Medicago truncatula: one gene and its partners. The protein of the gene in region 1 binds, or shares a complex with, the protein of each later gene. Links are inferred from orthologs where the notes say so. Each region holds a gene or a part of one and is shown on either strand. Other genes may lie near its edges. The genes, in order: mitotic checkpoint serine/threonine-protein kinase BUB1, mitotic spindle checkpoint protein MAD1, mitotic spindle checkpoint protein BUBR1 and mitotic spindle checkpoint protein MAD2.

Evidence for each region.
Region 2: mitotic checkpoint serine/threonine-protein kinase BUB1 (region 1) and mitotic spindle checkpoint protein MAD1 share a complex: the UniProt entries of both Arabidopsis thaliana proteins name them as parts of the mitotic checkpoint complex. The link is inferred for Medicago truncatula from reciprocal best matches to the Arabidopsis thaliana genes AT2G20635 and MAD1.
Region 3: mitotic checkpoint serine/threonine-protein kinase BUB1 (region 1) and mitotic spindle checkpoint protein BUBR1 share a complex: the UniProt entries of both Arabidopsis thaliana proteins name them as parts of the mitotic checkpoint complex. The link is inferred for Medicago truncatula from reciprocal best matches to the Arabidopsis thaliana genes AT2G20635 and BUBR1.
Region 4: mitotic checkpoint serine/threonine-protein kinase BUB1 (region 1) and mitotic spindle checkpoint protein MAD2 share a complex: the UniProt entries of both Arabidopsis thaliana proteins name them as parts of the mitotic checkpoint complex. The link is inferred for Medicago truncatula from reciprocal best matches to the Arabidopsis thaliana genes AT2G20635 and MAD2.

The regions. Positions count from the first base shown.
Region 1 is NC_053045.1:38,309,322-38,316,309, reverse strand, and holds the start of mitotic checkpoint serine/threonine-protein kinase BUB1, read left to right. Parts: upstream 1-3,964; 5' UTR 3,965-4,043; coding exon 4,044-4,117; intron 4,118-4,213; coding exon 4,214-4,355; intron 4,356-4,993; coding exon 4,994-5,151; intron 5,152-6,344; coding exon 6,345-6,435; intron 6,436-6,607; coding exon 6,608-6,718; intron 6,719-6,807; coding exon 6,808-6,895; intron 6,896-6,988. UniProt on the Arabidopsis thaliana protein: Serine/threonine-protein kinase that performs 2 crucial functions during mitosis: it is essential for spindle-assembly checkpoint signaling and for correct chromosome alignment. Has a key role in the assembly of checkpoint proteins at the kinetochore.
Region 2 is NC_053045.1:64,602,121-64,609,899, forward strand, and holds the start of mitotic spindle checkpoint protein MAD1, read right to left. Parts: upstream 3,008-7,779; 5' UTR 2,919-3,007; coding exon 2,772-2,918; intron 2,705-2,771; coding exon 2,605-2,704; intron 2,527-2,604; coding exon 2,168-2,526; intron 2,090-2,167; coding exon 1,997-2,089; intron 1,889-1,996; coding exon 1,772-1,888; intron 321-1,771; coding exon 73-320; intron 1-72. Other genes in the region: NADPH-dependent pterin aldehyde reductase, read left to right, coding at 4,511-5,154, 5,240-5,309; uncharacterized protein, read right to left, coding at 6,670-6,729. UniProt on the Arabidopsis thaliana protein: Required for the execution of the mitotic checkpoint which monitors the process of kinetochore-spindle attachment and delays the onset of anaphase when this process is not complete.
Region 3 is NC_053042.1:12,600,744-12,608,747, reverse strand, and holds the start of mitotic spindle checkpoint protein BUBR1, read left to right. Parts: upstream 1-4,981; 5' UTR 4,982-5,066; coding exon 5,067-5,263; intron 5,264-5,349; coding exon 5,350-5,409; intron 5,410-6,396; coding exon 6,397-6,541; intron 6,542-6,653; coding exon 6,654-6,811; intron 6,812-7,156; coding exon 7,157-7,238; intron 7,239-7,346; coding exon 7,347-7,410; intron 7,411-7,492; coding exon 7,493-7,577; intron 7,578-7,844; coding exon 7,845-8,004. UniProt on the Arabidopsis thaliana protein: Essential component of the mitotic checkpoint. Required for normal mitosis progression. The mitotic checkpoint delays anaphase until all chromosomes are properly attached to the mitotic spindle.
Region 4 is NC_053044.1:42,315,281-42,322,227, forward strand, and holds mitotic spindle checkpoint protein MAD2, read left to right. Parts: upstream 1-4,565; 5' UTR 4,566-4,711; coding exon 4,712-4,784; intron 4,785-4,867; coding exon 4,868-4,883; intron 4,884-4,971; coding exon 4,972-5,102; intron 5,103-5,581; coding exon 5,582-5,806; intron 5,807-5,904; coding exon 5,905-6,026; intron 6,027-6,114; coding exon 6,115-6,171; 3' UTR 6,172-6,424; downstream 6,425-6,947. UniProt on the Arabidopsis thaliana protein: Required for the execution of the mitotic checkpoint which monitors the process of kinetochore-spindle attachment and delays the onset of anaphase when this process is not complete.

The DNA of each region.
Region 1 (6,988 bases):
CTCTTGAATCCTTGACACCTCCCTCTAGGTGTCACTGTAATAGTGTAATAGTTAAATCTGTATTCTTTGATGTAAATTTTTCAAAATTGCAGGTAATGCATCTGTATAAACTATTTGTGATACCAATTCAACATTAATATTGGTAAATTAAGATTATGAACTGTTTGAGGAATAACTGAGGAATAACTCATGAAGACTCTGAGTTAGTCCATATAAGTTTATGATACTTTAAAATTATGAATTCTTTTGGTCAAAAAATTCCAAGAAAATGAAATTCATGCCAAAAGAAATGAAGTTGATGATGCTCAAGAAAATGCTCCAACCACCCTACTGCTACTTATTTGAAAAGCTTTAGGACTTTTCTAGTGAGCGAAGAGAAGAATAGCAGAAAATTAAATCGAAACTGTAACAAACTTTTGAGATACACAGTAAACTTTCCAGTATTATTGAACTACAATTTGTTAAATTCCATATGTACATAACTGAAACGAAATTTATATAGTTCTTACTATTTTATTTCACTATTTTCAGCAAAGTTTTTTTTTCCTATTTACATACAGAAAACTATCTACAATGCTCTCTCCTTCCCCCTCTAAACCAGAATCTGAAGCTACGTAAAAAGGATAAAAATTAATCATTACGTGAAAAACCATTAAGCTCATTTTTAGTTGAGTAATTGGATTCAAGCCATGTCAAAGATTCACGCCCTTGCTGTACTTGTCATTGCAGCATCCTTTAAATCATAAAGTATAACAAGATGTTGTAATTTATCAACTATGTAATGAACTAAACTAACTAAGCATTTGCACGTCATTAAACTGCATTAAAAATAAAATAAATAGTGCTCTGTGTCAAAAAATCAATATAAAAAAAATACATGATACTATAACCACCAGCTATATGTAAAAGATTTGTGTGAGTAACATTTATCAAACTTAAAAGGATATCAGAATTTGCTATAACATTGCACTATTTTACTTTTAGCTGTGTCCCAAAATAATTAATCAAGAGTACAACAAAATACGTTAAATTAATACAAAAATAACTACGATAGAAAATAGACAAACAAACCAACAAAAAATTGATTCAAGTGATAAGAGACTTGAGCTCCTTAAGCATGTAATCAGGGTTCGATTTCTAACTTATGTATATAAAAAAAATTGATTGAAATGGGAGAATCCACCTTATGTGTTCCATTTCTGCTAAGGTGAAAACTTCGTACTAATATAATGGTAACAAAAAAAGAATAGACAAACACATACTACACGGGAGTGGTTATGGTGCATAAGGAAATCCTTATGCACCGTGCATAAATCCCATTTGAAATATAATTGCTTCCATACACCTCCAAGCGAAACCAAACGAAACAACACTACAACCGTGAAAATCATCATTTTAGTTCAATAATGATTTCATAGTGATGATTTGGTTCAATGACAGTCACAAATGTCCTTATTATAGTAAGTTTTGTATAAAATTATGTCAAAACCATTTTGCTGTGGAAATGGTTTCTGTGAGTTGTACTCTAAAACCATTAGATGTACTTAATGGTTTCCGACAGTTGAAAAAAAACTAAGGACCTAGAGCCATTGCAATCATTCAGTTTTGGACTGACACAATTGGAGGAGGAGGAAAGAAATGGTTTCTGTGAGTTGTACTCTAAAAACAAAACCATTTTGTTGTGGGAATGATGTCCAGAAATTTTTGTTGTGGAAATGGTTTCTGTGTGTTGTACTCCAAAACCATTTTGCTATGGGAATGATGTCCAGAAATTTTTGCTGTGGGAATGGTTTTAGCAATTTATTTTTTGAGCTTTCACTACAAATTCATCAAACACTTTTCCAGCAAACAATCATGAATCATAACACACTACAAATTTCGAATTCTTCTTTTCTCTTCTATCAATTTCGAATTCTTCTCTTCTATCAATTTCGAATTCTTCTCTTCCATGTCTTTTTATTTTTCGAATCTTTGAAGTTAGATCTAGGCATATGTGTTTGCTTTTCGAAAATTTTAAAGGTGGATTTGAGTTTAAAAAGAAAATGGATGTCGGATTCTTGATTTTTTTTTTTTTTGAAAACGGAGGTTTTTGCTATCTCCGGCGCGACGCCGCCGTCCTGTTGGGCCGGCAGCCACCGCGCCAGCGCTTGAAGAGGAGGTCGGAGAAGAAACTCTTTTGCATAGCATCTCTCTCTAAGTTTCAGATTAGAGAGAGAAAGAGTGTTGGTTTATGACTTTTTTTTGTTTGAAGTTGTTTTTATACTGCCTTTTCTTATGTAAATCCAATGGTTGTGAAGTGTTTATGCACGGTGCATAAGGAAATGACTTATGAACCATAACTTTTCCCATCGTACACTATTAACTAGCAAAAAGCATAAAATATGTGAATTGATTATGACGAAAACTAAGTTGAATGTATTGTAAAGTGATTTGTGGTTTGATACATTTATGTGTAAAAATAAATTATATAATCAAAAGCTACAGATCATAGCTTCAATTAGAATCAATTCAAAGCACAAAATCAATTATACTGAAAAACAACCAAATACGTCTAAATCAATTAGATAATTTAACTATAAATTTGTGTGTAAAAATCAATTATATAATCAAAAGCTACAAATCACAGCTTCAAGTAGAATCAATTCTAAAGATAAAATCAATTATACTAAAAAAACAACCAACTACATCTGAATCAATTATACAACAATGTAACCAAACATACACTTAATTATTTATCACTACATAGTCCCAATTTTTCAAAAAATTCCCACCACTAAATGTATATGCAAATTAAATTAGAGTAAATAGTAAATTTCCCCCCTGAAATTGTAAGTTTCATCAATTACCCCCCTGAAATTAACAAAACTTCAATTAGCCCCTGAAATTTCACAACATTAGTCAATTTACCCCCTCCGTCAAATTTTTCTGTTAGTGAACATGACGTTTTGCAAATACCCCCCTGAAGTTTTGCACTTATGTGCAAAATGCCCCCCAAACTTAAAAATTTATATTATTTTTTTCTTAAAAATAAACAATTTATAGTTAAATATTAAAGCTAACTATTAATTTTGGAGTTTGGAAAAACTACATACATATATACTTCAAAATAGGGAAAAATGTGTATTTTTAAAGTGACAATAATGATTATTTCTAATAGACAAATTATTATTTTTAGAGGTTTATAAACAAATTAATAATCAGATTTAAATTTATAATTTCTCCTTCACCATCTTAGTCTTTTAACTCCTCCAACTCCTTAAACAATTTGCTCAAACTATTTAAACTACACAACCCCCAATATTAATCCACAAATCATCCCATTATTGTCACTTTAAAAAATACATATTTTTCCCCATTTTGGAGCCTATTTTGATGTATATATGCATGTAGTTTTCCCAAATTCCAAAATTAATAGTTAGTTTTAATATTTAACTATTAATTGTTTGTTTTTAAGAAAAAAATAATATAAATTTTTAAGTTTGGGGATTTTGCACATAAGTGCAAAACTTCAGGGGGTATTTGCAAAACGTCATGTTCACTAACAGAAAAATTTGACGGAGGGGGTAAATTGACTAATGTTGTGAAATTTCAGAGGGATAATTGAAGTTTTGTTAATTTCAGGGGGGGTAATTGATAAAATTTACAATTTCAGGGGGGAAATTGACTATTTACTCAATTAAATTGATTCGTAAGATATTGTTAAATCTATTTTGATCCCTTGCACCTCAATTTAATCTTGACAAAAAATAATACATAATTAGTCATTGACATTTTTATACATTAATGACTAAATTGGAATGCAAGAAAATTTGTGAAGGAACAAACTGAATCTCCAGGTGAAAAATATTTCAGAAAAATTCCAAATTCAATCAAAATAAAATATAAAAAATTAACTATTTGAACTCAAATGTAATTGATTAATGATTAATGAGTTTGGTCTAACAATTATTTGAATTTTCGAAAAGAACAAAGAAGAAAAAAAAGGATAAATTCAAATTGGTGGAAGTACCGCGCTTGGTTCATTACTGAAACTCAACAACTCAATGGCCACCACGCTCCTCCGCAACTCCCCCACTTTCACAACAGCCATTGACGATCCTCTCTTACCCTTTCTCCGGTTCTACTCTCTCTCTTCTCTATTTCCATTTTCCTCACATACTCGCACAATTTTTTACATTTTCACCAATTTTCTGCATTTTGTGAATGAATTCAGGTCAATCAAAAAAGCTCTAGAAGATTCCACCACTTCCTCCACTCAAAATCTCAGCAAGTTACTCAGAGATTGCATCAATAAATTCAAGAACAATCACAGCTACCGAAATGATCCCAGATTTCTCAAGATCTGGTTCCTATATGTAATAATATTTCAACTCTTTCTACCCAAAATTTCAATTAACATGCTTCCTTGCTTCCTTTATAGTAGTAGCATTTTCGTTTTACCATATCACTCCATTTTTTTTTAGTGTGGTTTCTCATTGAATTTCAGTGTAAAAATGTTTTACACTAACATGATATGTTCACCAAACTCATGGTAATTACTGTTATTTTGTCAATTAAACTATCATTTTTAAGATTTAGTTTGTATAAAACTTTTTCACACATTCATCCAGTCATGCTATTTTTATTAGGTTAGTGCCTAAAATGTATCTACAAATAACTATTTCTATTTGGTGTGTTATAATTTTATGCATGTGTAAAGATAATTTACACAGTCAGTGCATAGAAATTAATCTCATACATTATCTACTTTAATAATAAGAGAGACATATAGGGAGTAGTATATTAAAGAGACAAAAGATTTAGAAGGAAAATAAATTGAGATGTATAATTGGCCCATAAAAATGGAAGAGTAACAACTAGCTATTGTATGCAAACAACAAACTGCTATATTGTTTGAACGGTTTGCCAGCTTGGACTTGATGAGCACATGCTGCTTTGAGGAACCTTGAAATTGAAAGGTTCTCAACTTGGTTTTGTTGGTTTCTTTATGCAGATGGATGTTAGTGCTGATTTTGACAGTGTCTTCAAAGGAATGCTGAATAGTAATATATGTGCCAACGATGCTTCACTTTATGTGTATTCTGCATGTTTTTTTGAAGCAAAGGGTAGATTGCTCGATGCCGACACCATCTACAAGCTCGGCATTTCCAAGTTAGTGTTTTGGATAAGAATTTGTAACCTGCTTTTGATATTGCAAATTGTAGCATAATGATTTGTTGGGAAAATGACTTTAAATTTCTAAAGCTCCAAATGCAGTGTCTCCTATAATTGCTATGGTATTGGTTAGAATTCATTCTTGACTTGTGGGAAACACACCAATCTCACAATTTATCTTTTGAAAAAGGAGTTAATGAGTTTCATTTTTCAAAGTTATTTGAAACGGGAGAACAATTAATTAGCATTTATCAGTTTGTGGAAGAAGTCACACCTCACCACAATGTAAACTAGTTTCATTAAACACCGAGGCTTTCCAAATCCATGAGAAGTGAGTGAATCTTCAAACAGAGTGATTGCTTGAATAGTGAGTGTTTCTTGTTGGTGAGTATATACTATTTGTAGTAGATCTTGAGTGGGGTATTTTGGTGATACACATCTTGGATGGGTTTATTCAAATTTCATAAACTTGTATACTTATTAGGATTCCGAACCTGTGCAACTCACAGGGAGAAGTTGCGCAATGAGAAAACCATTGTTTGCGCTATTAGCAACTTCTAAACACTGGGAGGATAGTAAAAATAGAATTTATATGATAATTTTGTGGTACATTTGTCAGAATATTCGGTACAATATCTGAACTTAAACACCTATCCCATCAACAAGATCCTTGCCCATCAATTGAACCAGTACAGTCTTTTAATCAAATTTAATAAGCCAAATTTATTAGTTTCCCAGATACATCTACTTCATTACGATCTTTATGATGCAAAATGAGCCAAGACTCTTTAGGAATTTACGAAGTCAGTTGAACTGATCATCCAACATTAGCAATTCTTTGAAAATAAAAACATTCCCATACATTCAGAATTAACCAAAGCTTTATGTCAAGAAATTGTGAACTTGATCCTGCAAATTATACTGTTGATAAGCCAATTACAGGATTGAAGAGTAACAAACTTGCATCCTTAGGCTGTGAATAAATACTACTTCATTTAGGCACCGATTTGCAAATTCGAATCATAAATACAATTATTTTGAGATGGTTGGTTTACATAGACGTGGCCTGAAGGTGACAAAGACTCCATTTTTTCGTGGTGTTTTATATCTGTTTTATTCTGATTTGTTGGTGTGAGATTTTTTGCATTAGGATTGTAATTCTAATTTTATGTTTGGTCCATGTTTGACAGAAATGCAGAGCCAATTAAATGGTTGGAGAAGGCACATACCTTATTTCTCAGTAGAGTTTCTGAAATATGCAATGTTGCTTCAAGCCAGAAGGTATGAAATTATATTGAAAAGGTGAACAATCCCATAGTTAAAAATTGAGCCAACCTTTATATATCACTATTCTTTATGGTCTCTGCCACTTGTCTCCTCAACCCTGTTTCAGTTCAATTTTTTAGATTTCTAAATATCAATTTAAGAATTCTTATGTAACTTATAATTTCAGGTTGATTATAAAGAATCTGCTACGTTGGAAAATAATGACATTAATCCATGGGATGCCTCTACTCTGAATGACCTTTTGAAGAAGATAAATCCTTTAATTACGAAATTTGACGTGAGACATTTTGATCCTTTGTTACATGCTTAAACTTAATACATTTGACAAAGATCATGTTCCCTTACATGTCTTTAAATACATTTCAGGGGTACCATTCGAGCACTAAATCTTATACAGGAAAAATTGCCTTATCCACTTTGAAGAATGCATCAAGGAATAAAGTTATAGAGATAGGTAGATGTCTGAACATGATCTCAAGTATTGATCATATTTATCTTATATTTGTAGTTGTCTGACTGTTTTTCCGTTTTCTGTGTATGCATGATC
Region 2 (7,779 bases), about 26 Mb from region 1:
GACAGTGGTTTCAACAGCTCAAATCTATTAAAACAGCGAAGCAAACAAAACTTCAATTAGCTACCAACGTACTTCTGTAAAGCTGCAAATTTAGAAGGCATGTCCTCAAAACATGAGATGCCAGGTATGTCTTTAATCATCAATCTCCATGATGATATTTGATCCTCTAACTTTTTCATATTTGACTGGACATCCTGTAGTTTAGATAGCTCAGATTGTGCCCTTTCCCGACGGCTCTTTTCCTCCAGCAGTTTTTCCTTCAAAAGCTCAATGTTCTCGTGATTTGATCTTAGTTTTCGTGCTTCCCTTACTTCAGATTCCTAAAATTGCAAAGTTAACTGGATACATTACTCAGATTACCACAGGTACAAAAAAAGTTTATGATGAGAATGCATCTGGTTATAATTCAAAGTTAAAACGAAGTCCATGTATTGACACCCCTCCCCTAAAAAAAAATGAAAGTTAGCCTAATTTAATCCTACAAAATTGACTTGGACGGTGAGGGGTTGCCCTAAACAAATACTACCTCCGTCCCTAATTATAAGACCCTTTTGAGAATTTTTTTTGTCTCTTTTTATAAGACTCCTTTGCTATTTCCAACTACATTAATTATTTCTTTACATACATGCCCTTATTTATAATACATTTTTTTTCTTCAATCAACAATAAATAACATGTTGAAAACATAATCCAACTCTCTCTCTTAAAGGATAAAATTGTAAAAACAATAGTAATTACAAACATATTTAATACAAATATCCACTATCTTAATTCCCGTTATTTTTTCAAAAGGGCCCTATAATTAGGGACGGAGATAGTAATTGCTATTCAAGCCATAACACAATCTAATATGAGACTCAACACACACCCTTCGCATATTATGCATGAACAGAAGCTTGATCGCACTGGTATTTCCTCGGGTTTTTTGGTTTGTACTAGATGCAGCACTCGTAGAAAATGTGTTTCCAAGTCCAAAAGTGAATTTTACGTTTGGCCAAAACTCATAATAATAGAAACATGCTAAGTAAACACATCAGCCCAATTTATACCGAACTCCATCACAACATGGCTATGGATATAATAGATGCAACATTCAGGCCTATTTTATCTCTAGGTCCATGGATGAATTTAACTTATATCCCAAGCATGTAGTTTTAGAAAAATACCAAGTAAAAAGACCAGCCCAATTGATATCAAGCTCCTTCACGACAATACTTTGGTAAAACGTGCACGTTCTAAACAACAGCGTGTTATAAACTTGTCAAAACACCAGCAAAGAGAAGGGTACAAACAAGGGGAATAATATGAAAGCACACCCCTAAAAGAAAAAGAAGAAGAACATTTTGATAAAGTGAAAACAAAGCAATGGTATCTTTATGGTATTCCAAATATCAGGTGTCAAATTTAATTATATTTACTAAAATTTAAATAAAAAAGAGACAATAAAATGTGAAGAAAAACGCAGTCATATATTTTGGCACTAATCCAAAAAAAAATCCCAAAAGATTTAAGAAAATAAAAAGACACGATTCAGGAGCCAAGCCTGCCCAAACCTCATCTTATATATCCAGAACATTTAATAAAACAATAATGTGCCTAACACAAAATAAAAATAATATAATAAAGTTAGTCCTCTCCATTTATGATCATGTCACTTGAATTGCAGCTGAAATTGGTGTACACATCAAATGATTGATGTATGCAACCTAACACAAACAATCAAAACATCAAGAGGCACTGAGACCCAAGATAAAAGACAAAGCAAACTTACATAATGTTGAAGTTCCTGTTGCAATTGTTTAACCAAAACATCACTCCATGTAGAAGAAACTTCCTGGGATGAAAAAGTTGCTAGCTTCTTTTCAGCTTCAGTCTTCTGGTGCAAACACTGGAAATAGGAATCGTGATTCATGATGTAAAGCAAAGAAAGTAACCCAATAAAAAAAGAAACATGAAAGTGACAGGAAGCAAGCAAATCAAATTGAACATTGCAAACCTCATTGAATTGGTCCTTGAGACGGTCCAATTGCTCTTTAAGCATCTCTGCTTCTCTCTCGGCATTATTAGCTCTACATTCCATTTGTTCAAGCTACAACAAGAAAAATATACAAGTTAAAGAATGATTGATAGATATGAACGAGCATTAGTCTGAACATTGACAACTTACATTAGCGGTGATTCTAGAAATAGAAAAGTTGGAGTCCTTTTTGAGTTGTGAATGATCATCGTGAAGTCTCTTTTTTTCCCTCTGTATGGTATCTGAAAGATTGCCTAGCTTCCCTTCTAAAGATGTTGCTTTCTCTTGGGTGGAAGTGGCATGAGACTCGGCTTGTATGCGAAGGTTTGTCTCATTTTGGAGCTTAGCCTGAAGTTCAGTGTTTAATTGAATATATTTTCTAAGTCTATCTTGAGAATCAGTAACCTCCTTCAAGAGTTGATCCTGGAGGGCCTTTTCACGGCCTTTAGAAGCAGCAAGTTCTTGTTCAGTGTATAACAATTGCTCCACAGATTTCTTCCTCTCAGTGTCTGTCATGTCAAATCAAAGTTGATGGTGAAATGAAATTGAAATTGAAAAGTAGTAATTAATTGATGATATTAATATACCGAGTTTTTGGAAATTATGATTGAGTGTTTGGAATTGAGATTGATAATCACGAACTTGATTTTCTGCTTTACTTAAGGCATCTAGAAAATCAGATTTAACCTGCGTTCGAATAATAATAATGAGAGACAGGTTAATTGAAGAAGAATGAGAAAACAAACAAACAAACCATTTGGCGACACTGATATGTGCATAGCATGTGCTCGGAGGGTTCCTCCACCGCTGGCGCCGGATCCTCATAGATAACAAGCTGTGCGTCGCCATCGCCGTCATCGGAACGTGGCCTCTTCGGTGGCGGAGGAGTACGGAGTATCATTCTTTCTTTCTCACTTACGTTTCAAATGAATTGAAATCCCCAAACCCCAAGGCGCAACTTTTATTCAACGGAAGGAAAAGGAAAAAATACACAACCTCCTTTCACAATATAATTGTTTTGCAATCACAATCAACATCATGTGGTTTCGTGGTGTAGTTGGTTATCACGTCAGTCTAACACACTGAAGGTCTCCGGTTCGAACCCGGGCGAAGCCAATTTATTTCTCTTTTTGTATTTTTTTATGACTTTCATTTTCGCCGTCACGTTAGTCCACTAATTGTTTTTTGAAGGACCGTGAGCTACTACTAATCTTTCTCTTCTCCATCTCTAACTATGTATGAAACCTAAAAGAAAAAGAAAAACTCAATTATGTCACATTTTAATTATTTGACATCTCAATATATTTTAATCTTTTGTCTTTTGTAACAAAAAAATTATATTTAATGAAGAGATAAAATAATTGTCAAAAGATTGAAGTAATTTTGTAAAAAAAAAAATATAAAGACTATTTTATGTAATTGTATGTAAACAAACTAAATTTTTTTTTTTTTTTAAGTCATTTTGATTTATAATGATAAACAAACACAAATTATATTCTATTTTTTTAATTGAATCTCTAAATTATCAAATGTCAAGATCATTTTTATTTTAATCCATAACAAATGGGTCATGTGAGACGGTTCATTATAACTTTCTTAAAATAATAACTTTAAAGATCATCATTCCGTAAAAAAAAAAAAACTTTAAAGATCATTGTATTTATTTTAGTTTTTTAATGAGAATCTAGAAGGAGAAAAAAATATATATTAAGATATTGTGACTATGATTTGAACTCATTTCCGCTGCACTATTTTTAATTAAATTGAAGTACTTTGAACGATGAGAATGTGTGACATCCTTTTATGTTTAAATATTGATTTTATTTTTAAGTTAGAAAATACTAGTTGAGGTTAGGGTGTTACATTACAAGTAAAGGTAGCCTTCATTTTTATCGGTTCAGAGTCCTTCTACCTTAGTTCATTTCATATGTCACAAGTTGTGTCATACAGGATGATGAGACATACAAACTCAACATATGGAACCCCTTGTTCTTCTCTTCCAACAACTAAACCAACCCAACTGTGGAACCCGCTCTCTGTGCAACCCAGGACCTGTTCAATCCGAGTGCTAAAGCATTGGGAAATGAGTGATATATTTTAACCACAGTTTTTGTCGATATAGTTTTTTTGGCCAAATCCGACCGATTGTCCACCCCTACGGAAAAAAAGATGCTAAGTCAAAAAATGAGTGACATGTCCAAAAAATGGACTAAAACGAAAGGAATCTCAAATTACAAGAACAAATTAAGAAGAAATAAATCGACATAAACTCGCTTATATATTAAAGGATAAAAAACACATATAACCTAGTAAAAACATATAGAAGTTAAAAATATAATATTACGAATATACTAGAATAAAAAAATAGGCACAATTTTTGACACAAATAGAACAGGAATGGATTTGGCGTGAAATAGAGGGGTAATTCGACTCCGTTCTTCCCCTTTTCTCCCTGCAACAGCAATCACCCTCCATTTTCATCTCATCGTCGGAATGGGTGGAAAGGGAATAGGAAATAAAAGTGTGTTGATTACTGGTGTTAGCAAAGGAATTGGTAGGGCTCTTGCTATTGAATTGGCGAATCGAGGTCACACCATTATAGGTTGTTCTCGTGCTCAGGATAAGCTTGATTCTCTTCAATCTCTTTTACTTCCAAATAATCATAATCATCTCTTCCTCAATGTTGACGTCAGCTCCAATGACAGCGTTCAACAGATGGCTCGCACTGTTATGGAGATGAAGGGGGGTCCACCTGATGTTATTGTGAACAGCGCAGGTACTATCAACAAGAACAACAAGATGTGGGAAGTTCCTTCTCAAGAGTTTGATTTGGTGATGGATACAAACTTGAAAGGAACTGCCAATGTGTTGAGACATTTCATCCCTCTCATGATCAACAATGGAGGAGGAGAAGGTATTATAGTTAACTTGTCTTCTGGTTGGGGAAGATCGGGTGCAGCACTTGTTGCTCCTTACTGTGCATCCAAATGGGCTATTGAAGGACTCACAAAGTCTGTAGCTAAAGAGTTACCACAAGGAATGGCTGTTGTCGCACTCAATCCTGGTGTCATCAACACTGACATGCTTGCTTCTTGCTTTGGTGCTTCCGCTTCTCTTTATCAATCCCCTGAATCATGGTTTGTTACTTGATTCACATTTTTCTTTTTCTCTTTTCTTCTTCAACTTAACTAATAACTCCAAATAATCAATCTCATTCATCAGGGCTCTCAAGGCAGCCACCATGATTCTCAATCTTACTCCAGCAGATAATGGTGCTTCTCTCTCCGTTTGAAGTCTCATGTGTGAGTCAGGCTAATCATCAACTCCTCAATCATATTTATTAGTACATCTTATCGTAGAATGATTGCCATTGCAAGTAAAGATCATGTTTTCTACTATCATTTCGGTTCTCCTTTCTAAATGAAAATCACCTACAAGCTCAGTTTTACTGTATAATTAGTATAATGCTGGCATAAAGTTGTTGAATAGTATAGATTATAATATCTTTCGTTGGTGTTTGAATCCAAAGGCGTGCCTCAGTTCAGTTTGCATTGCATTGCACTGCTTGAATTGTTGCACAATCCAAAATTCAGTTTTGACTTGCAATAGATGTATTTATGTCGCTGTGTTGATTAGTAGCAGGTTTTTATGTTGGCAGGTGTGGTTTCTAATTCAAACTGGTTCATGTGCATTCAAAATAGTGTGATTGCTGTCTGACTTAGCCGTATTTTGGTGTATAACTAAGGTTTCGCATCAGGTCGGGTCTCCGCATTGTGTGGGTTGAAGTCTGCAGGACATGCTTTTAAATTTACAAGAGGGTGTCTTTGTACTTCATTTATCATTTGACTATTGTTTTTTAGTGCTTCAAAGATGTGTCTTTAGGCAAAACCATCTGATGTATTCCTTGTTTGGGGTCTTCACTTTTGTTTTGTGGAGGAGAGTTATGGTGATTAGCTTTCTGCTGTATTTTACAGCTTGGTTGTTTTCTGTTCTTCTTATCTTCTCCCTGCATTTTTTTTTTTGTGCCGGGTTTAGATCTTTTTATTAAACCTTTTACTTTGTTTTAAAAAAATAAAATAATATGCGAATAATCAAAACAGTTGACTTTGCAGCCAATGTCCAGTCTATTAACCTTGGCAATGGTTGGTTGGTCAATCGTTCAACTAACAATATGTATGCCAATGGATTTTCTCAAATATTGTTTTTTCTTTCTCTCAGGTTTCTTATGTGTAATCTCACCATTGAGCTTGTTTACTCTCATTGTTTATATTAGAAATCCATCTTACCTTTTCTATTTAATTGTGAGATTAATAACACATGACAAACTTGAGAGGAAAAACTTGAGAAGATCCTTTCCCAATATACACATGCTCTGCCTATGACCTAATAATAATTATTACAATGGAGCTGTACCAGTTATGTTCACGATGGAATCAAATAGAGCATGAATGAATGATCTTTATCTTACTCTCCCGTCTCCAATTTTGTCATAAAGGATGAAACAAATAGCCAAACGTATCAAATACTATTATTTAATGGCCACTGATTCAACTGTACATACATTTCTAACAAAATACAGTGATTGCAAAATTAAAAAACCATATATATAATATTTACAAATTTCAAACCCTGCCAATGTGTGTATATACTTTCTACAGGACACCTTCCTTGAAAGGACCAGAATCACGCAAGAGTTTCATAACAAGCTTCACCTGTACAGGCAAAAATGTCACATTATCAAGTGCTTTGGAATCACAGTAGTTGGTAGCATGAATGGTAATATCATGACAGAACAAAACACCTAATTATAAAACCATTGAAAGAATGCAAACTTATCTCGTCTTATGCCAAAATGCACTACTGTGCTTAATTCAAATATTAAAAGCATTTAAGTTCTTAAGCCAACAAATGGTTACATCCTTGCCTTCAATTCTAATCGAGACTGCAAAGTGGAGGATTGTTCTTGTGAATGCATTTAAAATGAGACCTTTTGATTAGACGAGAAGTTAAAACTACATTAAGGTAATCAGTCGATAGTCATCACTAGGATATAGGTCTAACTATATTTAAGACTCCCACCTTTAACACAAACAAAAACAACACATCCTGGCACTCACAACAGTTCCCAGCTTGGCTTTAATGATTAAGGAGTACTCCTATCACGAGACAAAACCAACTACGACTCTGTTTGTGAGTTTGGAGGGTAGGGAGGGCTTTGGGGGGAAGAGCGTAGGGGAAAAAAAAGAAGAGAAATATTCCGGATTTTTTTAGAGATTGTTATTGTAGAGAATGATAGATGAATGTTAATCATTAATATATTTTTAATTTTTATAATATTATAATAACAGATTATATTTGAAGAATTTATCTAAACCCTCCTTCAATATAATTTTTGAGTTCCTCCATTTTGAGGGGATTTTGTGTTATGAAGAAAAATAAACCCCATATTAAAGTTGGGAGACTATTCTTTCTTTAACTTCCCTTACTTCCTTCCTCATACCCAAAGCCTCCTCTCCAAACTTGCAAAGTAAGCATAATGATTCTTTACCATCACAACAACAACAAGCAAAGCCTTTTCGCACTAAGTGGGGTTGGCTATATGGATTAAATTACGCTATAATGTTCTATCATAAACCATATTTCGATCCAACTAATTAATTTCCAAATCTTTCATAATAGTTTCTCTGATAGTTTTTCTAGTCTTCCTTTGTCTCTACAAAATCTATAGGTAAGGAGAGTAGATCAGATGGAGGATAGTTAGA
Region 3 (8,004 bases), on another chromosome or scaffold:
AGAAGACCATATAAGATTTGAAGAGGTAAAGATGAAATCTTATGGGACTACATAGTGTAATTGGATGCAAAATCTTGTTGGGATTTTTTCTCAAGAAAATTGAAGATGCTACCTGTTTCTCAAGAAAACAAAAATATAAGGCGGTTTTTTGCTTGACAAAGCATATGAGCTGCAAGGTTATTTCTTGAAATCCAAGACAAGCAAAGTGATTGCTTCACTTGTTTACCTATAGGTCTTATAGTTCACAAGGTTGTTTCTTAGAGTACAAGACAAAATAGGGTTTACTAAAAGAGAATTCTTAGGAAATCAAAGGCTAATGATTGGTTCCTTTTGGGATAGAAACTAATATTGAGAAATACTTTGAAAACACCTTAGGGATATAGAATATGATTGGAATTAGGGTTTGTTCTAAAAAAATTTATTGAAGACTAATTTCTTGTAACTCATGTATCTCTTTGATAGTGAATTGAAGAGATCTCTCCTCCAAACGTAGGCCAATTTAGACCGAACTAAGTAAACAAATATCAACGTGTTCTTCTTATCCTTCTCGTTTATCTTATTTTATTGTTTATGATCACTTTAATTTTAGTTACTGCTAGTTTTGGTCCACACAACAAAGTATTGGTGTGAGTTTTGATCCAAATTCACAAATTATTCAAATTACAATCATTCACTTTGATAGTCTTTTATCAAGGTAAAATGAACACATATTTAAGAAAATGAAAGCATATAACGTTTTCACCAAGTAAACAAGCCCTTAACATGTCTCTTTTACTACCTATACTTTATATTCACTCTTGCTGATGATACAGTAAGGCTATGATCCTATGTCTATCTCCCATCCCAGTCTATTGACATTCATAACCTTTTCTTCCAATAATGCTTACCCTACTTTCAAATATTGTCCAATGCAATAATCCTTATCCTATTTTCACATATTGTATTTCTTTCCTTTTCTTATCTCCGATTCATTTGTGAATTGATAATTACCTTTTTTTCAATAGACATGATAATCACCAACTTGTTGTGGACTTTTAATTTTTGTAAAAATTAATCAACACGCAATGGTCAATAATATAGTTAAACAGGGGATACAGTGATATATTTTTAACGTTATTTGTAGCACATTGAATTCTATAATCCAACTGGAGTAAAACTAATATTTTTGAGAAAGACAGAATGTGAAGAAAAAAAAATTCTCATAATATATTTTCCAAATTGCTGTGACCGATTACACCAAATTCCACGAGCCCTATTGAGCGTGGATTATGTGGTTGCATATTTTATTTGGATTATGAAATTGGAAAAAATGTTGAGTGTTGAAGGATGTTTTTAACATATTTTTATACATTTTTGATTATACGATCCCAAATATTGGAAGGTGCGCGAAAAATTAGTCGAATGTGATAGGAATTGTCGAATAATTAATGATATAGATAGATTCCATAAACCCTAGTCACTTTGAGTGTACAAAGGCATTTTCGTCTTTCAATTTGTACACACCGGTCAATTTTGTCCTCAAATTTTTTGAAATAGCTAAAAGGTCTTTGAACTTTACAAAAGTCGATCAATTTCATCCCTCCGTCAAGTCTCACCGTTAATGGTGATGACGTGTGACGTTAAGTGCTGACGTGGATTGCCAACTCAGATGCCACATATTTAGGGATGAAAATGGTCGAAAATTATATTTTTTTGGACTTTTATTTAAATGAAAGTCATTACAAATTGTTACATTGTCAAATTGATCAATAAAAATTATTCACTAAAAATCAAGATGGTCCTTGAATTATGTCTCTCCCTATCAAATCAATCTCTGAATTATTTATCTTAACTATCAAATTGATCCCTATCAAATAAATGCTAAAAACTGAAAGAATGTGTTTAACTTTATTTATTACATTTTCATGTTTGAAATGAAATTTCATCCATGTTCAACGTATCCTCGAAGGTCTTCATGCAAAAGTGTTGAAAACCACTTCAAATTCTCTTTGTTTTCTACATCCACATTTATGATATTATAAACATAATTTTGCATATGAAAAATTCTCTTTGTGCTACCAAATCAAGAACCGCCCCTCAGCCACCATACTGGAGCTTCTCTAGAGCTCTCACATGTAAAGATTCACCTGTTCTTGACATTTTATGCATGTTTTATTTATGCTAGGTTGATGTCACTGCTAAAACTCTTATGCATAATGTTTCAAGATGGAAGGGCACATCCTTTACTAATGATGAAATAAATACTCTAAGTGAAGCAACTCTTGCATGTTAATCAACTTGTGATGAAATTTTAACATAAAATTTCTTAGAGTCCTCATTGACAGAAACTTTTGTTTCGTTATAGCCGAGGATCTGGCAGGATCAGTAGCATGGCTTGGTAGAGGTTTGTCTTGTGTCTGTGCGCAAATAAGAGATAGTGATGCTTCTAGCTTTTCTGAATTAACTCTTAAGCAATATTTTTATAATTTACTAAACTAGCTTTTAGTTTATGTTTTGAGTGTTTCTAATTCTGGTAATTATTACGCTCCATGCATCATCCAACAAAAACTAGAAGAAAACATAATTTTTTTGTAGCATGTTATATGGACTAAAAACTAGCTTTTAGTTTATGTTTAGAGTCTTGCTTAACTAGCTTTTAGTTTATGGCTTGAGACTTTAATGTGGATATTATAGGAGGCCTTTAAGGTATTATGGAAGGTTGCCTTTTCTAAAGAAGAACTCTATGGCTTGATATCAGAGCAGTGGAAGGAAATGAGTTGGCAAAGGTGGGAAGATTCATCAATAGATTTTTTTTAGATAGACATTGTCCTTTATCTTGTGTTCATCTTAATTAATTGTGTTAATGATTTTTATTGTCATGTGTTTGTTATTGGTATGTGCTTGTGCATGTAGAAAACAAAGAGAATTTGAAAGGGTTTTCAACACTTTTACATGAAGACCTTTAAGGATATATTGAATATGGATGAAACTTCATTTCAAACTTGAAAATGTAATTAATTATATTTAAACACATTCTTTCATTTTTTAGGATTTATTTGACTGTTTCAGGGATCAATTTGATAGTTAAGATAAATAATTCAGGGATCGATTTGATAGTGAGTGACATATATAATTCAAGGACAATCTTGATTTTAATGAATAATCCAGGGATTGATTTGACAATATAATAATTTGTAATTACTTTCATTTAAAAAAAAAGTGCAAAAAAAAGTTAATAATTTTCAATCAATTACGTCCCTAAATACGTGGCATCTGAGTTGGCAATCCATGTCAGCATTTAACGTCACACGTCATCACCGTTAACGGTGGTGAGACTTGACAAGGGACGAAATTGATCGACATTTGTAAAATTCAGGGATGTTTTAACTATTTCAAAAAATTTGATGACATAACTGATCCATATGTACAAATTGAAGGACGAAAATGCCTATTCACCCGATATCTTTGCTCTTTTTCGAAGGACCCCCCTAGCCACTTTGATGAGTCGTGATAGTTGTTAGATGTTTTGAACAGCTTGTATAAGTAGTGTCATGGTGAAGGACGTAAATTTCACAAACCAATAAATGTTCATGTTGTCGTCGTTGTTGTTTTTATTATTAGACTTGTGTTATTTCAACATCCATATATGTGACAACCAAAATTTTATAAAGGAAATGAGGTAGTGGACACAAAAACCAAAGCAATAGAAAGAGAAAGTAAAAAGATAATGTGAGTATGAGAGAGAAAGTTATCTCAAAAATTGTAAAAAATGATTGTTCAAATATCATTTCTCTTATTATTAGTAGTTGTAGTCTTTTTTACAAAAATTTAGATAATAGATATGTTTCAATTTTTTATTGTAGTAAACTATACTTTCTTACATAAGTAATAAATTATACTTATCAATTTCAATGTTAGAAAGAATATAACAAATTATGAAAACTATAATGAAAAGCACGGTGATTAGCTTTATACCACCAAAAGAAAAGAAGCTTAATGCTCTCCACAAGTTGAATTGGAGAATTTTCTATACCCCGAAAAAGTCTAACATTTCTTTTCTTCCAAATCATCCAAGAACTAGCAAACCAAATCAAATGCATGAAAGAATACATTGATTTAGCATAACATGAAGAAGTACCAAACTGATGAAAATGATCCACAATATTAGAATGATCTGCTGAATATACACAAATCCAATTCCTAACAAGCTGCCAAATATGACCAAAAAGATTAAAGTCAAAAATAAATGATTATGTGATTGGAGGAGACCATATCCAATAGCACACAACCAAAGCCATGTATAATAATCCCTCTTTACATACTAGACTATAGACTAACTTTGACATAAACAAATTTTACGGGGGACTATAGCAAAACAACAAGAATCAAAACAAAAAAAAGTTACATAGTTGCAAGCAAGGATTAACAAATTTTCTCAAATACTGAAAAAACAAACAAAAAATTTGTAGAGACAAAAAAAAAATATTCAAACCCTTATTTATTTAATCATTATTGAAAATTTTATAAATATTTTATAGACTAAATTACACCGAAAGTCCTTTAAGTTATTTAATTGTAACATATTGATTTTTTAAATTTTTTCGTACCACTTAAACCCTTTAAGTTAATTAATTGTAATAAGTTGGTTTTTAAGTTTTTTCCGTACCAATTAGATTTTTAAGTCATTTAACTGTAACAATTTAAGGATATAAAGTTTAGGAATTTCAGATCTTATAAAAGACCAATTTGTTATATTTTTTACGGATTATTTTATAATTTTTATCATTCCTATTTTTTTGGTGTTTTTTAATATTCCTATTTTTCCTTAAAAGATTTCCTATTTATTCTCCCCAAAAAGAATATTCCTATTTATTTTCATCATTGTTGACTCTCCAAAAAAAAAAACAATAGGAAAGTAAATTAATTAATTTGATTAATACAATATTATTCATTTTCCAATAAAGTAGCAACGGCTAGTATTAGCGTATATAAAAACACTTTCAAAATTCAAATCACAAATTCAACGCTCCCATAAGATTCCTTGGTAGTTGGAACACAAAGAAGAAGAAGCTTCAGCAACAACAACAATGGCGGAGATTGAAACGCAGAAGATAGATCCAGAGACAGAGTTTCTAGCATCGAAGAGAGAAACCGGAACCGAATGGGAAACCTTCAAAGAAAACGTGAGACCATTGAAACGAGGTCGTAATGTTAACATTCTCAATCACGCTCTCAAATGTCACACCGACAATTACCTCAAGAAATCTCTTATTCAACAACGAAGGTTCTTCTTTAATTATAAGGATTTCTAGATTTTCTTCGTTTTACTTTGTTTGATTTCATTTAATTGATGAGTTTTTGGTGTAACAGAAAACTTATTGAAGCCATTGATGATTACAAAGGCGAAGATCCTCTTCTCCCTTGGTTAGAGTGAGTGTTCATTCACTACTGTTATTAATTGTATCGCATCGTTACTAATTTAATGTTGTTATAATATTTTTAATTTTAGGGTTTATTTTAGGAGATTGGATTGATATGATTTTGAAGTTTTAGGACCTGATTGGATATTTAGTGTATATTTGATTATGCGGTGACAAAAATAGATTTTAGATGAATTGATTATGTGAAATTGATTTTACTTAAAAGCGAGTTGAATGTAGAATGGTCTATGTTTAGATAAATTCATGTAAAGTGAGTTGAACAATAAACTTTAGAGTAAAGATCATATTTAGACTCAAATGCTACAAATTCTAGCTTCAAGTTAGAATTAATTCTAGAGGCAAAGTCGAATCTACTCCAAAGCAACTAAACATGTCAAAATCAACTTTACACCTCCACAATCAATTATGGTTACTGCAAATGTGGAACCAGACATAGGCTTAGTTTCTCAATTTGTGTCAAGTATAAACACTTGTAAAGTGATTTTGAATGAATTTATTTTGTAAAATTTATTTTGGCTAAATATCATTTTGGCTGCTCCAAATGTGGAACCATACATAGGCTTAGGCTTAGGGTCTATGCTGACAAATAATGATTTTGAATGCAATGGCTGCTCCAAATATGGAACCAAACATAGGCTTTGGCTTAGGGTCTATGTTGACAAATAATGATTTTGTAAAATTGATTTTGGCTGAAATAAAATGAATTATGTTTGGTTATATTTGTGTGAAAAAGAGTTGAATGATTTAACCAAGCCTAAAAATCAATTCTAGAGGCAAAAACTGCAAATATTAGCTTTAAGTCTGAATCAATTCTGTAAAGGTAAAATGAATTATACTCGATAACAAACAAACACGACAAAATCAATTCTAAACCCTTAGAATCAATTTTACTTGCTTCAATACTGGAACAAAACATAGGTTTATAATAAAATAATAAATTGTGAATTTATTTTCTATTTTGTTATTGATGGTGAAGGTGTATGAAGTGGGTTCAAGAAGCGTTTCCTCCAGGTGGAGATAGCTCAGGGCTGGTGGTGATTTATGAGCAATGTGTTCGTGCTTTTTGGCATTCGGAACGGTATAAGGAAGATTTGCGATATCTCAAAGTGTGGCTTGAATATGTAGGGTTCTTAAATCTTTTGTTTTTTAATTTTTTACTTAATTATTTATTTAGTTGGTTGCTTTGATTTTGAGTGGTGGTTTGATAAGAAGAGATGTTGTTGTTGGTTGCAGGCAGAAAATTGCTTTGATAAGGAAGTTATATATTCTTTTTTGGATGCAAATGAAATTGGAAAAACTCATTCCGATTTCTACATTTCATATGCTTTGCACTTGGAATCCAAGAACAAGTTTAAAGCTGCTAACCAGACATTTGAACTTGGCATAAATAGGTACTGTGGTTTCTTATCTTATATCTTGGACCTTGTAATGAAATTCATATATTGTTTGATGTGTTAATTTGCTATATGCCATATTGTATACCAGTTGAATAACTCCAGGGAAAGTGTTAAATGCTTTTCACTTTTGCATTAATTATGGTTGCCAAAGGATATAATTGTTCAAGGTTTATGTCCATGTGGTTTCAATTTATACAAATTTGGAAAGGAAAATACGTGTGTGCATTTGTTATGGCCAAAATACTGAGCCTAAGTTCCATGAGATACCTTAGTTGACGAGTCATATAACTTTATAGAAGATCTAAATATTCTGTTTTGGTATGACTACCAATTTTGCAGGAATGCTCAACCCATTGAAAAACTGAAAGCTGCTTATAGAAAATTTCTTGTTCGCTCAATGTCAAGGACAAAACCTATAGATGTATGTGGTGTTCTCATTAGCACCTCTTCCAAAATTTTATAATATGATTATCTATGACTATGAGCTATCTACATTTGTTGTCTGACCCTCATATCTTCCGCTAACTAGGACCCAGTGGAAAAAGAGGCACCTGTGCGTAGCTTTGGAACTCTTCTTGCAAAGGGAGATAATGGTTAGTTCCACCCTTTTCAATTCTCTCCACATTACTTTTTGTCTCAATATTTTAAATTCTGAACATTTTTTCTGTGTTGTAGGTGCGCCCTTGGCTCCTTTGAGCAGTAATCGTTCTTCTAAGCCCTTGGCCCCTTTGAACAGTAACCTTTCTGTTAAGAATGATAGGTAACAATCCTAACAGTATTGTAGCTTTGGATTTATTTGGTTGGAATTGCCTTATTTCTTCCTCTTGTTTTTTGGATCCTTATTTCCATATATACTTCATTTTTCAAATCACCTGCACGCACTATGCACATAGTCTTGTAGAGAAATATATGAATAATGAGTTTCTAGGAACATATATAAAATGACCTTGGAATTGTCAAATTCCAATTTCATGCAATGTACCTCTAGGTTGGTTTTTATTGATATTTTCATTATTAAATCTTGTAGGACTCGAGCAGCTCCACTTTCCATTTATAAAGATTCAAATGCCAATGCTGAGACCTGTCCACCTCAGCCAGATCCGTCACACTCTTGGCTCAAACTTGGTGGTCGTGCCGAAAGAAACAAGGAAAACAATGCAATTCCTGCAAAATGGAAATCCTTTAAG
Region 4 (6,947 bases), on another chromosome or scaffold:
CATATAAGTGCTACACAATACAATTAGGTAGTATCCCTTTTTTTTTTTTAATGTGGGTGGTTTACTTTCTCATTTCTATGATCATACCACTGTATAACCTCTATGACACCATACACCATACAACTTCTAAAACCATTTAAAAAAAAAACAGGGGTAAATAAAAGTAGACCAAAAACTCCATACTCCATCACAGCCAGAACCAAGCCCCTTCCACCTCAAAATCACAGCAAACACCTTTTACAGCAACATAACTATGCCAAACAATAGATATCCATTTTCATACTCAAATGGAAATTAACAATGTAGCATCTGATGCAATTCTGGTTTAGGCAGCTATTAGCAACTTTTATAGTTTCTAGAGGGATGAATTTTGGTGCGTTTTTGTGTTACTTTGGTGGCCTCTCTGTTGTGTGGCTGAGGGCTAGTTTTTCTGCAGGATTTGTGCTGATTTTCTGTTCAGTGGTAGCAATTTTGGTCGACAGTTTTCGTGTTTTGTTTCTGGTGTGTTTTGGCTGGTGCCTCGGTTCATCTTAGCACTTCTGAAACAAGGATTATAAGAGGGAAGGATTCCTTGTTTTAGCAGCCAATCATCAGTTTGTTGCACAAATATGAAATATTTATACAAAGGAGTTTGCTAATTAGACCAATCTAAAAACATGAAGTCTAAGTAGGCAAGTGTGTACCTTTTTATTTGTTATGAATGTCTCAAATACTTTAACTCACTTTTGTTATAAACACATTTATGTCTCAAATAGACAATTACAAACATTAAACAATAGTTTTTTGTCTAAGTTACCAAACCCCTTTAAAAAATACAAAGTAAAATTATCAACAAATGTGAGGTACAATAATCATAAAAAACTACTAACCAGAACCAGTCTTATGACCTAGTTGTTCATCATGATGGATTGGAATTGGAAGTCTGATTCGATAATGCCTCATGTAGTAGTTGAATCCCAAAATTAAATACATATGCCCTTTAAGGACCTCATTCACCATTTGTTTGAATTCTTGAACTGGAAGTCTGACTCGATGATGATCATTCATGCATCTCTTGAAATCATCTATGTCTTTTACAAACTTATCATATTCTTCCCTTTTGCGCCGTGAAACACGCCTTTTACTTCATGGAGAAACCCAATTCCAGATTTTAGAACTGGAAGTGCGATTCCATGTTCGTTTGCCATGGAAACTGCTTAGTAAACAACGATAAGAAACCGATCCTAAATTCAGATCGGAAGCTTTTGTGTGATGTTGTTCTACTTGCTAATTAACTTTTTTTTGTCGGGTAGCCTATCGAGCGCGGAGAAATTCAACTTAAACTTAAAGTGGATAAGTGGCGTGTTCGGGGTTCGAACCCCGACCCCTGCATGTATTATGCATTATCCCTTACCAAGTGAGTTAAGTTCACAGGGACATTTGCTAATTATCTTTTTAATTTCGTGAAATATTTGAATTAGTTTTTAAGTTTAAAATAAGTTTTTCCATTGAAAAAAATATATTTTTTAAGTTTTAAATAGATTCTTTAAATTGTTAATTTAATAGGTTTAAGGGTTTAATTGAAATTATAAAAAATTCAGCCTAAAATCTCTATCATCTTCATATATATTAATGATAATATTGTTTTTTTTGTGGTGTTCGAGTTTCGAACCTCGGATCTTGTATATATTATGCATTGTTCTTACCAACTGAGCTAAGTTCATGTGACTCATAATATTGTTTCTATTACAGTGAGATGATTCCTTAGTTTAATGTGCTTTAATTTTTTTAATTAAAATTTAAAATAATATTATTAAATGATAAAATAGTTTAAATGAAAGGTAAGATAAATAATGAAAAAAGTCAGCTCAAACTCGTGTATTTGTTTTTGAAGGATCAAACTCGTGTATTTAAAAGGTCTTTTCTTTATTTTTATTTTTTTGAAGGAAAAAAGTCTTTTCTTTATATATAGTATAAATATATAAAGTGAATAGTGAATTTTGGGTTGCGTTTTTTTATTTCAATCATACCCTTAAATAATTTTTCCTATAATAATGTTATATTGTTGGCGTTATTATAAATGATAAGAATTTTTAATATATGTTATATTATTTTTGTTATTGAAAAAGATAAATATGATTTATTGAGTTTGTTACATATTGTTGATAATCTACATGTGTTAGTGCATTCAAAAAAGCGAAAAAACAGATGCATAAGTGTTGTCTTTTCGCTAATATAGTACAGATAAAGTATGGTTGTTCTTATTATAACAACTAACACGTGTCCGTCTTTTCGCACTTTTTATCGCGGTAATGCGTGTAAACTATTAACAATATTTTATATGAAATTTTAATTTTGTTTAAAGTTATAAGTACAAATTGTAACAAACCCAGCAAATCATGTTTATCTTTTACAGTGACAATAATAATTTAACAAATATTATACATATTTTTAATAACACTGACAATATAACATTTATTAAAACAAACAATATAACTTTTAATACAAGAAAATTTATTTAAGGGTACAGTTGAAATAATAAAATAGTTAGACTAAAATCCATATCCCCTTTATATATAATATAGATATTGTTCATATTGTGATGTAATATTCCTATTTCGATGGAATCTAATTTTTTAAATTAAATTTTTAATAATATTATTAAAGAATAAAATAGTAAATAAAATAGTATAAATGAAGGGTAAAATAGGTAAGAAAAAAACATCTTGGATCCATGTTCGTACCTGATCAGAAGGTGACTACCGACGCGGCGTTTTTCGGTGGTTAATGGCAACCGTTGCAACTAGAACGGCTAGGGGTGTATACTTGCGGACACTCCGACATTCATGTCATAATTAAACGAGAATGGGGGCTAAGAGCCTAAAAAGAATCTAACATTTGAGACTGCTAGGAGTCCCCTTTATATATCATGGAGGTGCAAGTCCCGTAAGTAGGACACACGTGGGGTTTGACAGTTACAGGTTCGTGGGAATCGTAACCGTAAGAGATAGATTTACAGCCACGTTTAAGAGATGTTGCCAGTCGTTTGAACTAGTCTCTTGTGTGCTACGAGCACCTCCCTCGTTAAGAGGGGTGTGTTTCGAGTAAGTAGCCCAAACGCTGGATTTGGGTATGTTGATATTGGGTCTAAGTAAATAGGTCTTTTAGAGCATTTGTTTGGTCAACAGTATAGAAGATATACACGATATTGTTTTTTTTAAGAAGCTAACTAATATACACGATATTGTTTGTTACACTTTTTAAGAGTTTTTCTAGTTGCACCCTAGTTAATCATGGTTGCACCCCAAAATGACAAGATTACCCTTTCATAAAATTTGATTTTCAAAAAGCCTATTCCTTCTTTTTTGGTTACACCCCAAAACCATTCTTCCAAAACCATAATTCTCCAATCGATCGATTGTGTTCTGCGAAGATTTTCAAAACCATACTTTCTCACGTCCATTCATGATTTCAAAGAAAATTCGAAGCAAATCAGGTTAGCAAGTGTTGTTCTTCAATCGATTGTGTTTTTCTTTTTATGGGTTCTCAGTTCTGATTTTGTGTTTTCCTTGTTCTGCGATTCGCTTCGCAGTTCTGCGATTTTGTAAACTCAGTTTAAGTAGGTTCATGTAAACTCAGTTTAAGTAGGTTCATGTTAACTCAATCTAAGTAGGTTCATGTAAACTCAGTTTAAGTAGGTTCATGTAAACTAAGTTTACATGAACCTACTTAAACTGAATTTAAGTTAACCTTGCCAATGTAAATTAAAACCGTAATCGTACAGTGCATCATTGCAGTTGAAGGAAAAAAATTGAAACTAGCAAATAGAAGAAGAAATTCACTTACTTATATCCAATTGAGTATGGATGAAAAATATTTTGATTCACTCTTTAATTTTCATGGAGATTGATATTGAACATCAAATTGTTTGATCGATCGCTTTGTGGGGTGAAAGAGGGTGAAACTCACTGACAATGAATAAAATTAGGGTTTTAAGAAAATTTATATAAAAGGGCAATTTTGATATTATAAAAATTTTTTAAGAAAATTTGGATGTAACCAAAAAAATATGGGGTGTAAATAGAAAAACTCCTTTTTAAAGGATAAAAGAAATAAAATATAAAATATGGACATATACTTCTATCGGATTTGTTACACTTTTTAAAATTTTAAATTCACTTTCACCCATTTACATATAAAATAAATAAAAGTTATTTTAATAGAAAGTCTACATTAATGTTTATATTTTAAAAATATTTGTGAATTTCCAATATTTTATCACATCGAATTTCTCATATATGTGCATAAAAAATTGTTTTCGCACATATAAATAAATAAAATCTACAATTGATGTGATTTAACTATTTAACAAGATTTTTGATATATAAGATAAAAATATTTAATAAAAATATTCTTTACGTGTAAACAACGACAATATTAATAATCAAAATATTTTTTTATAAGGGAATCACAAAAGGCGATTCTGAATCTTGACCGTTAAATAACCAAATTCAAAATAATCTTATGGATAAAAAATAAAATAAAATAAAAAACAAGAAAAAGCGCAATGAAAACAAAAAAGCAGAACTAGCCGTTAAGGCGCTTCCCCTACAAGTTTCTTTCCAACTCAAATCCCTATTTTATTATCCTCTTTTCTCTCATTTTTGATTCAGTTCATTCTTCTACTCTTCCAATTCCAACTACCAAAATTTCGCTCTCATTTCACTTGATCATGGCATCAAAAACAGTTACCAAAGACATAATCACTCTTCGTGGTTCTGCAGCAATCGTTAGCGAGTTCTTCGGTAATATTATTATTATTCACATTTTTTTCATTTTTTCTACATTTTCGTATTTTCCACTGATTATTTTTATTTTCATTCATCAGGATATGCTGCTAACAGGTTTGATTCAGCATTTTGTTTAGCGTATATTCTAGTTATGTTATTTGAAATTTCGTGATATTATTGATTAACATGTGAACTTGTTCAGCATCCTTTACAATCGCGGTGTTTATCCAGAAGAAAGCTTTGTGAAGGTGAAGAAATATGGCCTTCCGATGTTGCTTACTGAAGATGAGGGTGTTAAGTCCTTTATAACCAATTTAACTGCTCAGCTTTCTGGTAACTAACAACCCTAACCCTACTTTGTTTCTTTCTATTATTATTGTTGTTGTTGTTGTTACTGTTGTTGTTGTTGTTCTATGGTTCTCTATTTAGTCATGTGCAGAGATTGAAACAGATTTATTGTTGTGACAAATGACCTTTGTAGCACCTCTGTAGCACCGACACTTCTGATCGAAGACGAGTTTCCACGTTAACACGACGCCGACACATGCGATACATAAAATTAATTCTTTTTTTTAAATTACTTTTGATGTTGACATGTTAGTGTTGTGTATGGTGTGTCCGTGCTTCATTACTTATGATTTATGAAAAATTGGGAATCTTAAATATGAATAGATGTTAAGATTACTGTTTACCATTCATTTCCTTATTCTTCTTGGGGATTTCAATACCTATTAAAATTTGAGAATCAGCGGTTGTTTTGTGATTTTATCATGGACCATTGCTGATTATCAAACTGTTTGAATATTGAAAAGAATGGCTTGAAGCTGGCAAGTTACAGAGGATTGTCCTTGTTATAATGAGCAAGTCCACTGGTGAAGTCCTTGAAAGGTGGAATTTCAGCATTGAGACTGATAACGAGGTTGTCGAGAAGGGCGAGTCAAGGGAGAAGAGTGACAAGGAAATCATGAGAGAGATACAGGCAATTATGAGGCAGATAGCTTCAAGTATCACCTATTTGCCATGCTTGGATGAACCTTGTATGCTGCCACTATTTGATTCTTTTTTATGTTTTTTCTTTCTTAATCTTCATTTTATATTGTTTTATCTCCTAGTTGAATTTGGCTATTTGTTTCAGGTGTGTTTGATGTGTTAGCATATACTAACACAGATGTGGAAGTTCCATTCACTTGGACTGAGAGTGATCCAAAGCTGATTGCTAATCCACAAATGGTGAAACTGCATTCCTTTGATACTAAGGTGCAATTTGGACTTAACCAATTTTGTTATTTATCGACAGACATGGTTTATCCTTTGGCTATAAGTAATACTTATTTTGGTTATGCAGATTCACAAGGTTGACACACTTGTATCATACAAGAACGACGAATGGGATGAGCAGTAAAGCTTAGCCGCCCGTGTCCTTTTCTTGTCATGTTGTTCTGTTTCTGTTATTTTTTCCAAATCAAGTGGATTGTGCCAGTTGTGAATTTTCTATTCACATGGTTAGATGTGTACTGATGTGGATGTCAGATGTATTATTCCTCGCTTTTTTATGTTTTCCTTTTGGCAAGGATATCAAAAAACTTCCCTAATCTTTTCAGAATTATGGTTGATTGTACTCAGTTTTATGAAATAGTGAATCATTCCTAGAATCATTCCTAGTATGTTAATTCAAATCTGGCTGTGGAAGCATATCCATGTACTCAGTTTTATGAAATAGTGAATCATTCCGAGTATGATAATTCAAATCTGGCGGTGGAAGCATCCATGATCTCAAGGAATTTCCTAATCCTTTCTTAATCATGGGTATTTGGAACTATCATTCTAGCATTTAAAGGAGATACATAAATTTATGAATAACTCTTGTCAAAAAATAAAATGAAATATTGAATCAAGAGTGAATATTTAATTTGGTCATTAAAATGTTATGAATTAGTGAATCTGTCTGTGTGAAAGTGTTAAAAGGAGATCATACAAAAAGCAAATCCTCCAAGAGCATGGTTTACAATTGAAACAAGAGTAAATGATAAATTTGACCATTAAACTATTACTCTCTCCTCCTATGTTCTTTTAAACAATCAAGTTAATCCCCAAACTATTAGTTTCTCTCCTATTTTGAAGATAACTGGGTGACAGATGAATCGAGAAGATTAAGAACTATCTATCATAAATCTATAA